Saccharomyces cerevisiae S288C: one gene and its partners. Each later gene encodes a partner of the first gene's protein in a complex. Each region holds a gene or a part of one and is shown in the gene's direction. Other genes may lie near its edges.

The links.
Region 2: the proteins of UBA1 (region 1) and UBC13 are in contact, whole or in part, in a crystal structure (PDB 6ZHS), measured with the Saccharomyces cerevisiae proteins. Residues at the interface, in NP_012712.1 of Saccharomyces cerevisiae: Asp547 (codon at 3,416), Ser587 (codon at 3,536), Ser588 (codon at 3,539), Arg590 (codon at 3,545), Asp591 (codon at 3,548), Pro592 (codon at 3,551), Pro593 (codon at 3,554), Lys595 (codon at 3,560), Ser596 (codon at 3,563), Ile597 (codon at 3,566), Pro598 (codon at 3,569), Leu599 (codon at 3,572), Cys600 (codon at 3,575), Arg603 (codon at 3,584), Ser604 (codon at 3,587), Phe605 (codon at 3,590), Gly649 (codon at 3,722), Asp650 (codon at 3,725), Leu691 (codon at 3,848), Phe693 (codon at 3,854), Asn694 (codon at 3,857), Phe695 (codon at 3,860), Lys700 (codon at 3,875), Thr701 (codon at 3,878), Ser702 (codon at 3,881), Phe707 (codon at 3,896), Lys712 (codon at 3,911), Thr955 (codon at 4,640), Met956 (codon at 4,643), Ser958 (codon at 4,649); in NP_010377.3 of Saccharomyces cerevisiae: Met1 (codon at 1,592), Ser3 (codon at 1,598), Pro5 (codon at 1,604), Lys6 (codon at 1,607), Ile9 (codon at 1,616), Lys10 (codon at 1,619), Thr12 (codon at 1,893), Glu13 (codon at 1,896), Lys14 (codon at 1,899), Val16 (codon at 1,905), Asp29 (codon at 1,944), Asp30 (codon at 1,947), Asn31 (codon at 1,950), Leu32 (codon at 1,953), Arg33 (codon at 1,956), Asp60 (codon at 2,037), Asp61 (codon at 2,040), Met64 (codon at 2,049), Leu83 (codon at 2,106), Arg85 (codon at 2,112), Ile86 (codon at 2,115), Cys87 (codon at 2,118), Lys92 (codon at 2,133), Thr93 (codon at 2,136), Trp95 (codon at 2,142), Pro97 (codon at 2,148), Pro117 (codon at 2,208), Asn118 (codon at 2,211), Asp119 (codon at 2,214), Pro120 (codon at 2,217).
Region 3: the proteins of UBA1 (region 1) and CDC34 are in contact, whole or in part, in a crystal structure (PDB 6ZHU), measured with the Saccharomyces cerevisiae proteins. Residues at the interface, in NP_012712.1 of Saccharomyces cerevisiae: Arg182 (codon at 2,321), Asp200 (codon at 2,375), Arg202 (codon at 2,381), Phe236 (codon at 2,483), Glu584 (codon at 3,527), Ser588 (codon at 3,539), Arg590 (codon at 3,545), Asp591 (codon at 3,548), Pro592 (codon at 3,551), Pro593 (codon at 3,554), Lys595 (codon at 3,560), Ser596 (codon at 3,563), Ile597 (codon at 3,566), Pro598 (codon at 3,569), Leu599 (codon at 3,572), Cys600 (codon at 3,575), Arg603 (codon at 3,584), Ser604 (codon at 3,587), Phe605 (codon at 3,590), Asp650 (codon at 3,725), Leu691 (codon at 3,848), Asn694 (codon at 3,857), Phe695 (codon at 3,860), Pro696 (codon at 3,863), Ala699 (codon at 3,872), Thr701 (codon at 3,878), Ser702 (codon at 3,881), Phe707 (codon at 3,896), Lys712 (codon at 3,911), Pro915 (codon at 4,520); in NP_010339.1 of Saccharomyces cerevisiae: Lys5 (codon at 2,135), Ser6 (codon at 2,138), Thr7 (codon at 2,141), Ser9 (codon at 2,147), Leu13 (codon at 2,159), Arg14 (codon at 2,162), Tyr16 (codon at 2,168), Arg17 (codon at 2,171), Leu33 (codon at 2,219), Asp36 (codon at 2,228), Ser37 (codon at 2,231), Asn38 (codon at 2,234), Ile39 (codon at 2,237), Phe40 (codon at 2,240), Asp69 (codon at 2,327), Phe72 (codon at 2,336), Ser73 (codon at 2,339), Tyr89 (codon at 2,387), Arg90 (codon at 2,390), Asp91 (codon at 2,393), Arg93 (codon at 2,399), Leu94 (codon at 2,402), Cys95 (codon at 2,405), His100 (codon at 2,420), Gln101 (codon at 2,423), Ser102 (codon at 2,426), Gly103 (codon at 2,429), Asp104 (codon at 2,432), Pro105 (codon at 2,435), Met106 (codon at 2,438).

What each region holds. Positions count from the first base shown.
Region 1 is NC_001143.9:37,386-42,781, forward strand, and holds UBA1 (E1 ubiquitin-activating protein UBA1), read left to right. Parts: upstream 1-1,777; coding exon 1,778-4,852; downstream 4,853-5,396. Other genes in the region: TRP3 (bifunctional anthranilate synthase/indole-3-glycerol-phosphate synthase), read right to left, coding at 1-768; ATP-binding cassette a-factor transporter STE6, read right to left, coding at 5,038-5,396.
Region 2 is NC_001136.10:628,285-631,193, forward strand, and holds UBC13 (E2 ubiquitin-conjugating protein UBC13), read left to right. Parts: upstream 1-1,591; coding exon 1,592-1,621; intron 1,622-1,889; coding exon 1,890-2,321; downstream 2,322-2,909. Other genes in the region: RLI1 (Fe-S cluster-binding ribosome biosynthesis protein), read right to left, coding at 1-250. UniProt on the Saccharomyces cerevisiae protein: Has a role in the DNA error-free postreplication repair (PRR) pathway. The UBC13/MMS2 heterodimer catalyzes the synthesis of non-canonical poly-ubiquitin chains that are linked through 'Lys-63'.
Region 3 is NC_001136.10:560,940-564,449, reverse strand, and holds CDC34 (SCF E2 ubiquitin-protein ligase catalytic subunit CDC34), read left to right. Parts: upstream 1-2,122; coding exon 2,123-3,010; downstream 3,011-3,510. Other genes in the region: PST1 (Pst1p), read right to left, coding at 1-923. UniProt on the Saccharomyces cerevisiae protein: Catalyzes the covalent attachment of ubiquitin to other proteins. Capable, in vitro, to ubiquitinate histone H2A. Mediates the initiation of DNA replication (transition of G1 to S phase in cell cycle).

The sequences.
Region 1 (5,396 bases):
ATCCTGTAACGGTGGGGCAAGACCTAAATCATAGTTAGATTGTAAGTCTTGAAAGGTGAAACCTGGGATTTTAGACTGCTCATTGACGTCTATTTTACGCCGAGCATAGATACGGTCCAAAATAGAATTTGAAGGAGATGATTTGTTTTCCTCCCAAGTGCCTCCACTGACGTTTAAAATGTTCCTGATCATCAGATGACCTTCCTCGGTCAAGATGGATTCCGGATGAAATTGCACACCTTCTACAGTGTACTTCTTGTGTCTTACACCCATGATAATTCCATTTTCGGTACTCGCAGTAACCTTCAAGCAGGATGGTAGGGACGATTCTGTCCCGGCCAATGAATGGTATCTTGTCACAGCAATACCTTGCGGCACGTTCTTGAAAATTCCACAGTTGTCGTGAGAGATTGGGGACGTTTTACCGTGGACAATCTCACCAGCGTAGGCAACTTCACCACCAAATACGTCAAACATGCATTGCTGGCCCATACAGATTCCAAATACAGGAATTTTCCCAGTAAAGTACCGGATACAGTCTCTTGAAATGCCAGAATCTGTCTTTGGGTGGCCTGGTCCAGGCGAGATAAGCAATGTGTCGGGATTCAAGGCGGCAATTTCTGGAACTGTAATTGCATCGTTACGGTAGACGCTCACTTTGGCGCCCTCCTGGCACAAGTACTCGTAAACGTTCCAGGTAAAGGAATCGTAGTTGTCAATTAGAACCACATGCTTATTGATTGGGTTTGTTGCAGCGTGCACAGACATTTTTTTCTTACTTTTATGGCGTTCTATGTAGAACCAAACAGATTTGGTAATGTGTTAATACTGACCAGCTCCTTGTCGAACTTTTTGCGTACCTTAATATCTGCTATAGATTAGAATGAGTCAACGAGCCATTGATGATCATTCAATGATTACTACAAGAGGCATTTTCCGTCGTCAGTGATATGAATAGCACGGTGAGGTCCAGAAGAGATAGTAGGAAGTTTAATACTGGCTCAAAGGCATACTTATATCGACAAGCTAAGCGCAAATACTACTTTGTGGTACATCATCAGCATTGCTTTCGAGAAAACAGCATTTAAAATCAGCCATTTGCTGCGCTTTCTTTAAGCCCTAACAGAAAATAGTTCAAAAAGGCCTATAAGAAGCAAAAAAAGTGAAAAATACGAAAAAATACTCCAGCGGAGGAGTATAAAAGGGAGGAAAATACAAAATGTAGTTGTGTTGTTACGCATCTCAAAGAAGAAAGAAGAAGAAGAAGAAGAGGACGTCGCACTTGCAAGCAAAAACAGCGACTGGCGCGAGAACAACAAACACTAATGCATGTCTCTGTCCAGCAGGAAAAGCGAGCCTTAGTGTTTCTTATTTTCTCGTTCGCCTCACTAGTTTGTAGTAGGGTGGGAGAAACGATGGAGTGGATTGTATGATGAGGAACCAGATAGGGACAACAGATTCTCAAGTGACGAGGAACATCTTTTAAAGCCCAGTTTTTAGTAGAGCTTAGGGCGCCTTTACTGACTATCCACTCCTTGTTAAGCTATGATCTTGTATTCATGTGATTGTAAATAATATTAGAGCTCTTTCTTGAATTGCCATTACGCTTCCATGCGGCATATTCTCGTGTAGTGTGACAAAAGGTGCGGGTGGCAAATAAAGGTAAAAGAAAATGATCAAAAAGGGCCTTTAAGTAGGATGAGCAACCGCCAATCGCTGGATATAAGCAAACAAAAAGTAAGATTAGTAGCAAAGCAAAGAACATATAACTATAGCTATGAGCAGCAATAATAGTGGTCTCTCTGCCGCCGGAGAAATCGATGAAAGTCTTTATTCTCGTCAACTTTATGTGTTGGGTAAGGAAGCAATGTTGAAAATGCAAACCTCCAACGTATTAATTCTCGGCTTGAAGGGGCTAGGTGTTGAGATAGCGAAGAACGTTGTGTTGGCAGGTGTCAAATCTATGACCGTTTTTGACCCTGAGCCGGTTCAATTGGCAGACTTATCAACCCAATTCTTTTTGACCGAAAAGGATATTGGTCAAAAGAGAGGAGATGTGACCAGAGCCAAATTGGCAGAGTTGAACGCATATGTCCCGGTTAATGTGCTGGATTCCTTAGACGATGTTACCCAATTGAGTCAATTCCAGGTCGTTGTCGCTACGGACACTGTTTCTTTGGAAGATAAGGTGAAAATCAACGAATTTTGCCATTCCTCCGGTATTAGATTCATTTCCTCGGAGACAAGAGGGCTGTTTGGTAACACCTTCGTAGACCTAGGTGACGAGTTCACAGTGTTGGACCCAACGGGTGAAGAACCTCGCACTGGTATGGTTTCAGACATCGAGCCCGATGGAACAGTGACCATGCTAGATGATAACAGACACGGGTTGGAAGACGGAAATTTTGTCAGGTTCTCCGAAGTAGAAGGTCTTGATAAGTTGAATGATGGGACCCTTTTTAAAGTTGAGGTTTTGGGGCCCTTTGCATTCAGAATTGGTTCAGTCAAAGAATATGGCGAGTATAAGAAGGGCGGTATCTTCACCGAAGTCAAAGTACCCCGTAAAATCTCATTCAAGTCTTTGAAACAACAACTGTCCAATCCTGAGTTTGTTTTTTCGGATTTTGCTAAATTTGACAGAGCTGCTCAATTGCATTTGGGATTTCAGGCTTTACATCAGTTTGCCGTTAGACATAATGGTGAACTGCCAAGAACAATGAATGACGAAGACGCCAATGAATTAATCAAGTTGGTCACCGATTTGTCCGTTCAGCAACCGGAGGTTCTGGGTGAAGGTGTAGATGTTAATGAAGATTTAATCAAAGAGCTTTCCTATCAGGCAAGAGGTGACATACCGGGTGTCGTAGCATTTTTCGGTGGCCTTGTGGCACAAGAAGTGTTAAAAGCATGTTCTGGTAAATTTACTCCGCTAAAGCAATTTATGTACTTTGATTCCTTGGAATCATTGCCAGATCCTAAAAACTTCCCAAGAAATGAGAAGACTACTCAGCCAGTAAACTCTCGTTACGATAATCAAATCGCGGTTTTCGGTTTGGATTTTCAGAAAAAGATTGCCAATTCAAAGGTCTTTCTTGTCGGATCTGGTGCCATTGGTTGTGAGATGTTGAAAAATTGGGCACTTTTGGGGCTTGGTTCTGGCTCCGACGGTTACATCGTTGTTACGGATAACGATTCGATCGAAAAGTCCAACTTAAACCGTCAGTTCTTGTTTAGACCAAAGGATGTCGGAAAGAACAAATCTGAAGTAGCGGCAGAGGCCGTTTGTGCTATGAACCCCGATTTGAAGGGCAAGATAAATGCTAAAATTGATAAAGTGGGGCCAGAAACTGAGGAAATATTTAATGACTCCTTTTGGGAAAGCCTGGATTTTGTCACCAACGCTCTAGACAATGTCGACGCAAGAACATACGTAGATCGCCGTTGTGTGTTTTATAGAAAACCACTGTTAGAATCTGGTACCCTAGGTACTAAAGGTAATACTCAAGTCATCATTCCAAGATTGACTGAATCATACTCTTCTTCTAGAGACCCACCAGAAAAGTCTATCCCATTGTGTACCCTACGTTCTTTCCCAAACAAGATTGATCACACCATTGCCTGGGCCAAATCTCTTTTCCAAGGTTACTTCACTGATTCCGCCGAAAACGTTAATATGTACTTGACACAACCGAATTTCGTTGAGCAAACACTAAAGCAAAGCGGGGATGTCAAGGGAGTTCTAGAATCCATCTCAGATTCTCTATCTAGTAAACCACACAATTTTGAAGATTGTATCAAATGGGCAAGGTTAGAATTTGAAAAAAAATTCAACCATGATATCAAGCAGTTACTGTTCAACTTCCCCAAGGATGCCAAGACTTCCAACGGTGAACCATTTTGGTCCGGTGCTAAGCGTGCTCCAACACCATTAGAGTTTGATATTTACAATAACGATCACTTCCATTTTGTCGTAGCAGGTGCTAGTTTACGCGCTTATAATTATGGTATTAAAAGTGATGACTCTAATTCTAAACCCAACGTGGACGAGTATAAGTCCGTCATCGATCATATGATAATTCCAGAATTTACTCCAAATGCCAATTTGAAAATTCAAGTTAATGACGATGATCCGGATCCAAATGCCAACGCGGCTAATGGCTCAGATGAAATTGATCAGCTGGTATCATCCCTACCAGATCCTTCTACTTTGGCTGGCTTTAAACTGGAGCCTGTAGATTTCGAGAAAGACGATGACACTAATCATCATATTGAATTTATAACGGCTTGTTCTAACTGTAGAGCTCAAAACTACTTCATCGAAACTGCTGATCGCCAAAAGACCAAATTCATAGCTGGCCGTATTATTCCTGCCATCGCAACAACCACTTCTTTGGTTACTGGTTTGGTCAATTTGGAATTATATAAACTGATTGACAACAAGACAGATATTGAGCAATATAAGAATGGCTTTGTTAATTTAGCTTTGCCATTTTTCGGTTTTTCGGAACCAATTGCTTCACCAAAGGGAGAATATAACAACAAGAAATATGATAAAATTTGGGATAGATTTGATATCAAGGGAGATATTAAATTAAGTGATTTAATTGAACATTTTGAAAAAGATGAAGGGTTAGAAATAACAATGCTTTCTTATGGCGTTTCTCTTCTTTATGCCTCATTTTTCCCTCCAAAGAAATTGAAAGAAAGACTAAATCTACCAATAACTCAATTGGTTAAATTAGTGACTAAGAAAGATATTCCGGCACATGTATCTACAATGATTCTCGAAATTTGCGCAGATGACAAGGAAGGAGAGGATGTTGAAGTTCCTTTCATTACCATTCATCTATGAGTAACTAATTAACCAAAATAAAAAAATAAATTAAATATATACATTAAATATGTATATATATATGTATGACTTTTGACAACTTTTTCTTTGGTAAAAACTTATTATTATTATTATTATTATTATTATTAATGTAGTCTCGAATATTTGAGTATGTTTTAGTTTTTTGTTTTATATTTTCTTTGGGTTTAACTGCTTTGGTTGGAAACAATTTGGAATAATTCCCCGCGATTATTATATAAAGTGTCGAAGTTACCTCGCTCAACCACTTTACCATCTTTAAGAACTGCAATCGAGTTACAAGACCTCATCATTTGTTCACTATGCGTTATAACCATTGTTAGTAGAGCAGGTGGACCTTTTTTGACGATCTCATTGATGATAGAGGAGCTGACAGAATCCAAGGCTGAAGTACACTCATCTAAAATCAGAATTTTTGATTTTCTCAGAAGTGCTCTGGCTATGCAAAGCCTTTGCGCTTGTCCACCTGACAGTAAAGTTGTATCAATACGTGTATCCAAGCCCTGAGGTGATGAAATTACAAAGT
Region 2 (2,909 bases), on another chromosome or scaffold:
TTACATGGGCTTCTAAATTAGTTGGCAAATTGATAATTTGAATAGCATCAAATGGACATTTCTTAACGCAAATACCACAACCAATACACAAGATTTCGGAAATGAATGCGATTTTTGAAGTTGGAGTGACTTCAATACATAATTTACCAGTTTTCACAACGGGACACGAACGTTTACACTCTTGACGACACTTTTTTGGTTTACATTTATCAGCGCTAACGATAGCGATACGACTGTTTTTATCACTCATTATGGTCTGTCGTGTTTTCTTAAGAACTTTTGCAGAAGGCTAGGTGGAATTCGCGCTGAAACAGATCACAATGAAGATCTAAGAATACAGAAACAATAAAGGTTAATGCCCAGTTTTACATTTTTTTTTTTTCACTTTCACTTTGCTAGCGAGCGATGCGATTGAGAAAAAAAATAGAAAATTTTTTCAGTTGCAAAACTACCCGGCTAGAAATCTGGTTCGATGCACACGAGTAACAAGAGATTGTTTTTCTATCCATGGTATTTGCTTATGAACAGGTGACTGAAGCAGCGTATAGTCATGTTCAGTCTTTACTATGTGAAGGGTAGGATGCTAATGACCGGCTCTTTCTTATCCTCCGCGGTGTTTTAAACGATGCTCCTTTCAAGTACGCTATTCCGTACTATTTTTTACTGTGATAATTTGATCATCAACAACGACGAAAATGACACGTCGGCGGCTAATTTGATATTTCTTTATTTGTGTATTTCCGTTGCAGATACGAGGGCGTTTTACATGACATCAAACTATTAGGAAAATCCTTTTCCAATTCAGTTTGTAGTAAACCATGATAGGCCACAAGACATTTTTTTTCAACTGGGGAGAAATTTAACAAGGACGTCTTTTTTTATTTAGACGATAAAAAACCAAGAAACAAAACTAGTAAAGGTTCTTGGAAGCATTTATCTGGATGCAAAATAATCGTTATTCTTGGGCATGCTGACAATGCTGAAAAAGTTATCCAAACAAAGTAGTCAAATATTCAAGATCACTATTAGATCGCTAAACATTAATTTCTCATTTTGCGACGATACTTTTTTTACAGAATATAAATTCATGTTAATTTTGAGATATTTAAGCGTTTCATCTCTTTTTTTCTGGGCTAAAAAAGCTTTTCGATGTCTAGAAATACTACCAACAAATACTTGAATGCAGAACAAGAAGGAAAAAAGCTTGATACTAGTCAAGCTTAATGATTAGATTCTGCGGGAGCCGCGGGAACAGAAAATACTAACGTTTTAAATATCATTTAAAAAATTACCAAAGTACAATAAGCAGTTTTTTCTTTGCCTTCTCTACATGTGAACAAATATAATGGGCATCTAACAGGAATTTGTTTTCCTTTAAACCATCAAAGAGAATAGTTCAGTTAATTATGCCGCATCCGTATTGTTACCCGAAATTATGGTGTTTTTAAAACAAAGGATAAGTGATTCATTGAAAGATGGCGCGCCACCACGAACCAAAACACCTCTATAGAGAATAGTACTTTACACTCTTCTGTTCTTTTTTTTTCCAATATTAGCAAATAAGGTCAGGTTCATTGTAACATAGTTAGAAATGGCATCATTACCCAAGAGAATAATCAAGGTATGTTCAAACAAGAGCAGTGGATTATATACGAAATCTGAAGTGACGTTTTCGTCTGAGCCGTCACACTCTACACTGTTTCCTCTTGATAATGGCTAGAACTTACATACTAACGCAAAACTTCCAAAACAAGAAGGCTTTTTTTGTCCAGTTTGTAGCAGCGTTCCGCCTTCCCTTTGTCCATATCCGCAAACGCTCATATGGAGGGAATTCAACAGAACAAACTACTAGGGCAGAAAACGCAAAGTCTTTGTGAACTTTCATATAGGAAACTGAGAAATTAGTAAGTGACCCAGTACCTGGCATTACAGCAGAACCACATGACGACAACTTACGTTACTTCCAAGTAACAATCGAAGGCCCAGAACAGTCACCATATGAAGACGGTATTTTCGAATTAGAATTATATCTGCCTGACGACTATCCAATGGAAGCACCGAAAGTACGTTTTTTAACCAAGATATATCATCCCAATATTGATAGGTTGGGCCGTATATGTCTTGATGTGCTTAAAACTAATTGGTCACCCGCTTTACAGATCAGAACCGTCCTGCTGTCCATTCAAGCACTGTTGGCTAGCCCTAATCCTAATGATCCGCTAGCTAATGACGTCGCTGAAGATTGGATAAAGAATGAGCAAGGTGCCAAAGCTAAGGCTCGCGAATGGACGAAATTGTATGCAAAGAAGAAACCCGAGTGATCATTTCTGTATAAGTTTTCTCAACTGAATATATAAATATATATCATTACTATGCTGCTGCTGCTGCAAAAAAAAAAAAATTTACGATAAATGCAAAAACCATAGATGGTCATCTAAAGAGGCGCATTTCTCAAAAATGTAGCGTCGCTAAAATGGTTTTCTCTACCTTTAGTTTTACGCCAGATTTTTACTAGACGCGTTTTAGTTTACTTTTTCCTACCCTGTTCGTTTTTTTTTTTTTTTTCGCACCAAATTTTTCAACCGTTCCATGGAAGCCGGGATCGACCGTCCTACACTAATGTAAGCATTAGTCCGCTCGAGGGTCCACGTTTAATTCCGGATCATAAAGTTTTTAATGTATTTCTTGTTATTATCGCTTTTGTTGATCTTACCTGCTATTGCATAGAGACAGACAATAGACAAACCAGATTCATCGCTTACTCGGTGGTTTACCTCTTAGTATTACTTTCGCTGCTTCTTTCTGCTGTGACAGAGTCTCAGGTGAAACAAATTAATCAAAAGAGTTGATTAAACGCAAGAGCGTTGAGAGAGTTTAAAAAACCATCCGTTTCTTTTTCTATTTGCTTT
Region 3 (3,510 bases), on another chromosome or scaffold:
GAGGTGAAGTTACCAACAACTTCCAAAGTACCGCCAATGGTTGTTAGGTTGTCGAGACCACCAATTTTTTGTAAACCAGTGTTGTTAGCAACGACAAGAGCACCACCTATGGTTGACAAATTAGAGAACGACAAGTTCTTCAAGTAGTCATTGGAAACGATACTGAAGGTTTGGCCAATGGTGTTTAGCTTAGTGAAATTCAAACTTGAGATGGAGTTGTTGATGAAACCCAATGAAGAGTTAATCTTTTGCAAGTTAGCGAAGGAAACAGAGTGGACATCGGTCAAACTGATATTGTTTGCCCAAACCAAGTCATCGAAGGTGATTTTAGTCTGGTTACCGTTGAACGAAAATTGTAAAGAATCGCTGACTGTTTCAACTGGAGATTTGATCGAGGTTAATTTCTTATTGTTATTGACGTTGAACACGTTAACTTTTTTCAAGGCTGAGAATCCATCGACAGATTGTAACGAAGTGTCGGAAATATAAATGTTGTTAGCAGATTTGATATTTGAAGTAAAACTGGAGATGGCGGGTAGAGTAATCAGTTTTATACTATCAACGCTCTGTAAAGACCCAAATGAAGCAGAAGTCAAGATTGTCAAACTCTGTAGGTTCAAAGAATCTGTGATGGACTCCAAGGAATCAGCAGCGAATGAGGTTAGATTTGTAGCGTTAAATATAGTTAGAGACCCGTTGATTTCTTTAACATTAGCCAAAGCACCAGTCTTCAAACCACCACCAATAGTTAAGTTCCCGACTAACGTATCACAGCGGCTATATTTATCTAAGTCACTCTGAGCTGTGGCCGTGGCATGTGAGCTTATGGTACAGGAAGAGGGTATGCTGGAAGAAGAGGAAGTAGCAGCCAAAGCTGACGTTATTAAGAGCGCAGTTGAAGCGATAAGTGAATGTAATTGCATGATATTTTTATAGCGAGCTTTTTTTTTTTGCTTCTCTCTTGGATTAGATCTATTGCAGCGTGATGTACTGTAAGATTCTATTGAACTATACAGAGCAAGAGTTGAATAGAGAAGAATATGCACGCTATTTATATGTTTATCTGTAGAGCATATATGGGTTTGCTCGTAAGGAACCTTGAGCGGTTGAATGATATTACTTAGAGTTAATGCTATGAAAACCCAGCCCAATCATTCAACATTACTCTTTGTAGTAATAAACTCTGATCAAAGTCCGAATCAGGGCAGTGTGCCTACGCTATTTTTAGAGACTCGTAACACTATTAAAACTAAAAGCCCTCTCTACTAATTAAGATATCCCAGCTTTGTGGTCTTTTTTGGGTTTCTTTGGTTTTTTTCCCTCAAGGATACCGAAAATGCGGGCCTTAATTTAAAGCCTTTTCCGTAAAGAGAAAACAAAAATGAGTTGGCGGGTCAACGGGGAGTGCTATTTTAAACGACTCAAATACATTTGAAAAAGAAAAAAATAGCCGCCCAGCTCCCACGTGCATATCACGTGCATTATAACCCGGTTTTCAGATAATAGAAATCCGCTCACTCTATTTATTTAAACGCTTTCTTTCTTTTTTTTTCTATTTATGGGGCCCACCCGCGGAAGAAAAGAAAAGCGGGCAATTACTAATGCGGGTTCAGTCCAAAGGAGATTTGATGTGGCAATAGCATCATAATGATGGAACCTACGTTAAGTGCGTTAAATAGGGAGAACTGTTTGTCACTTTATTCTTGTATACCGCTCTTAGTAATGATTTGTTTATGCTCTTTATCGTAACCTGCGCTTACAAAACTAACCACGTGCAGCATCGTCTTGTGTTTGTCCGTCCCTTGGGGTTCTTCGGATTTTCTATCTCCTCTTTTTTTTTCCTTACACTTTCATTTTGGGAAAAATTCGATTCTTTTTCTTTGATTTTTTTTTGGTTTCCTCTTGAATCTGTAAAGAACAAGAGCAGAAACTTAAAGTTAAGAAGGACAATAAAGAGCATACTATTACAAAATAATAGGAGCTTTGCGTTTGTTATTTCAGTCGAATAGTACTCCTTTATACTCTCTGCCGCTGACATCTTTGTCCTTTACTGTTTAGGACTTATAGCGACTGTTATTTTTTAGTACACCAAACAAGGAAAAAAGAACAATACAACGTAAATATGAGTAGTCGCAAAAGCACCGCTTCTAGCTTACTGTTACGGCAATATAGAGAACTTACTGATCCTAAGAAAGCTATTCCCTCATTTCATATAGAACTAGAGGATGATTCAAATATTTTCACTTGGAACATAGGTGTTATGGTGCTAAATGAGGATTCCATTTATCATGGAGGGTTTTTCAAAGCTCAAATGAGATTTCCGGAAGACTTTCCCTTTTCTCCACCACAGTTTCGATTTACGCCGGCTATCTACCATCCAAACGTTTACAGGGATGGCAGGCTTTGTATTTCTATTTTACATCAAAGTGGGGATCCTATGACCGACGAACCTGATGCTGAAACGTGGTCCCCCGTGCAGACCGTGGAAAGTGTGTTGATCTCTATAGTATCTCTATTAGAGGACCCCAATATCAACTCGCCAGCAAATGTCGATGCCGCTGTTGATTACAGAAAGAACCCTGAACAATACAAGCAAAGAGTCAAAATGGAAGTGGAAAGATCGAAACAAGATATCCCTAAAGGTTTCATAATGCCCACTTCTGAATCGGCGTACATATCTCAAAGTAAACTAGATGAACCAGAATCGAATAAGGATATGGCGGATAATTTTTGGTATGATAGTGATTTGGACGACGATGAGAACGGGTCCGTCATTTTACAAGACGACGACTACGACGATGGAAACAACCATATCCCCTTTGAAGATGATGACGTTTACAACTATAACGACAACGACGACGATGACGAAAGAATCGAATTCGAAGATGATGACGATGATGACGACGATAGTATAGATAACGACAGCGTCATGGATAGGAAACAACCCCACAAGGCTGAAGATGAAAGTGAAGATGTGGAGGATGTAGAAAGAGTTTCAAAGAAAATATAAAAAAGAACAGTAAGAAAGAAGACAAAATTTAACAAAACATATTCAGCTCAAACGCAAAACATGAATCAATTTATACATACGCGATACGTTGTCGATAAAGCACTTTACATTTTTCCCTATGATAATCTGAGATTGACAGGGGAAGAAGAAAATAACTAAGTGTCGAAGAAAAATTTAGAAAAATTAATTCATCATCCCATTTTACTTCTCGCAGTACACCGTACGAAAGAAGAAGGTAAAGAATTGAGAAAAAAAGTGTATATCATTACATTACTTTACACCACCTTATAACCACAAACGTGTATATTAAGAAAGTTTTTTAAAAAGAAAGAAATAAGAAAACCAAATCCGTCCCACTAATAGTTTCTAAGTTACTGTACTTTTTTTTTTTGAATATATATCACCATACATATGTATATAAATATATATTTGTGTGTGTGTGTTTATATCTATATCTCTTTGCATCTAATTCCTCATTACCTTTTTTATTTTTATTTTCT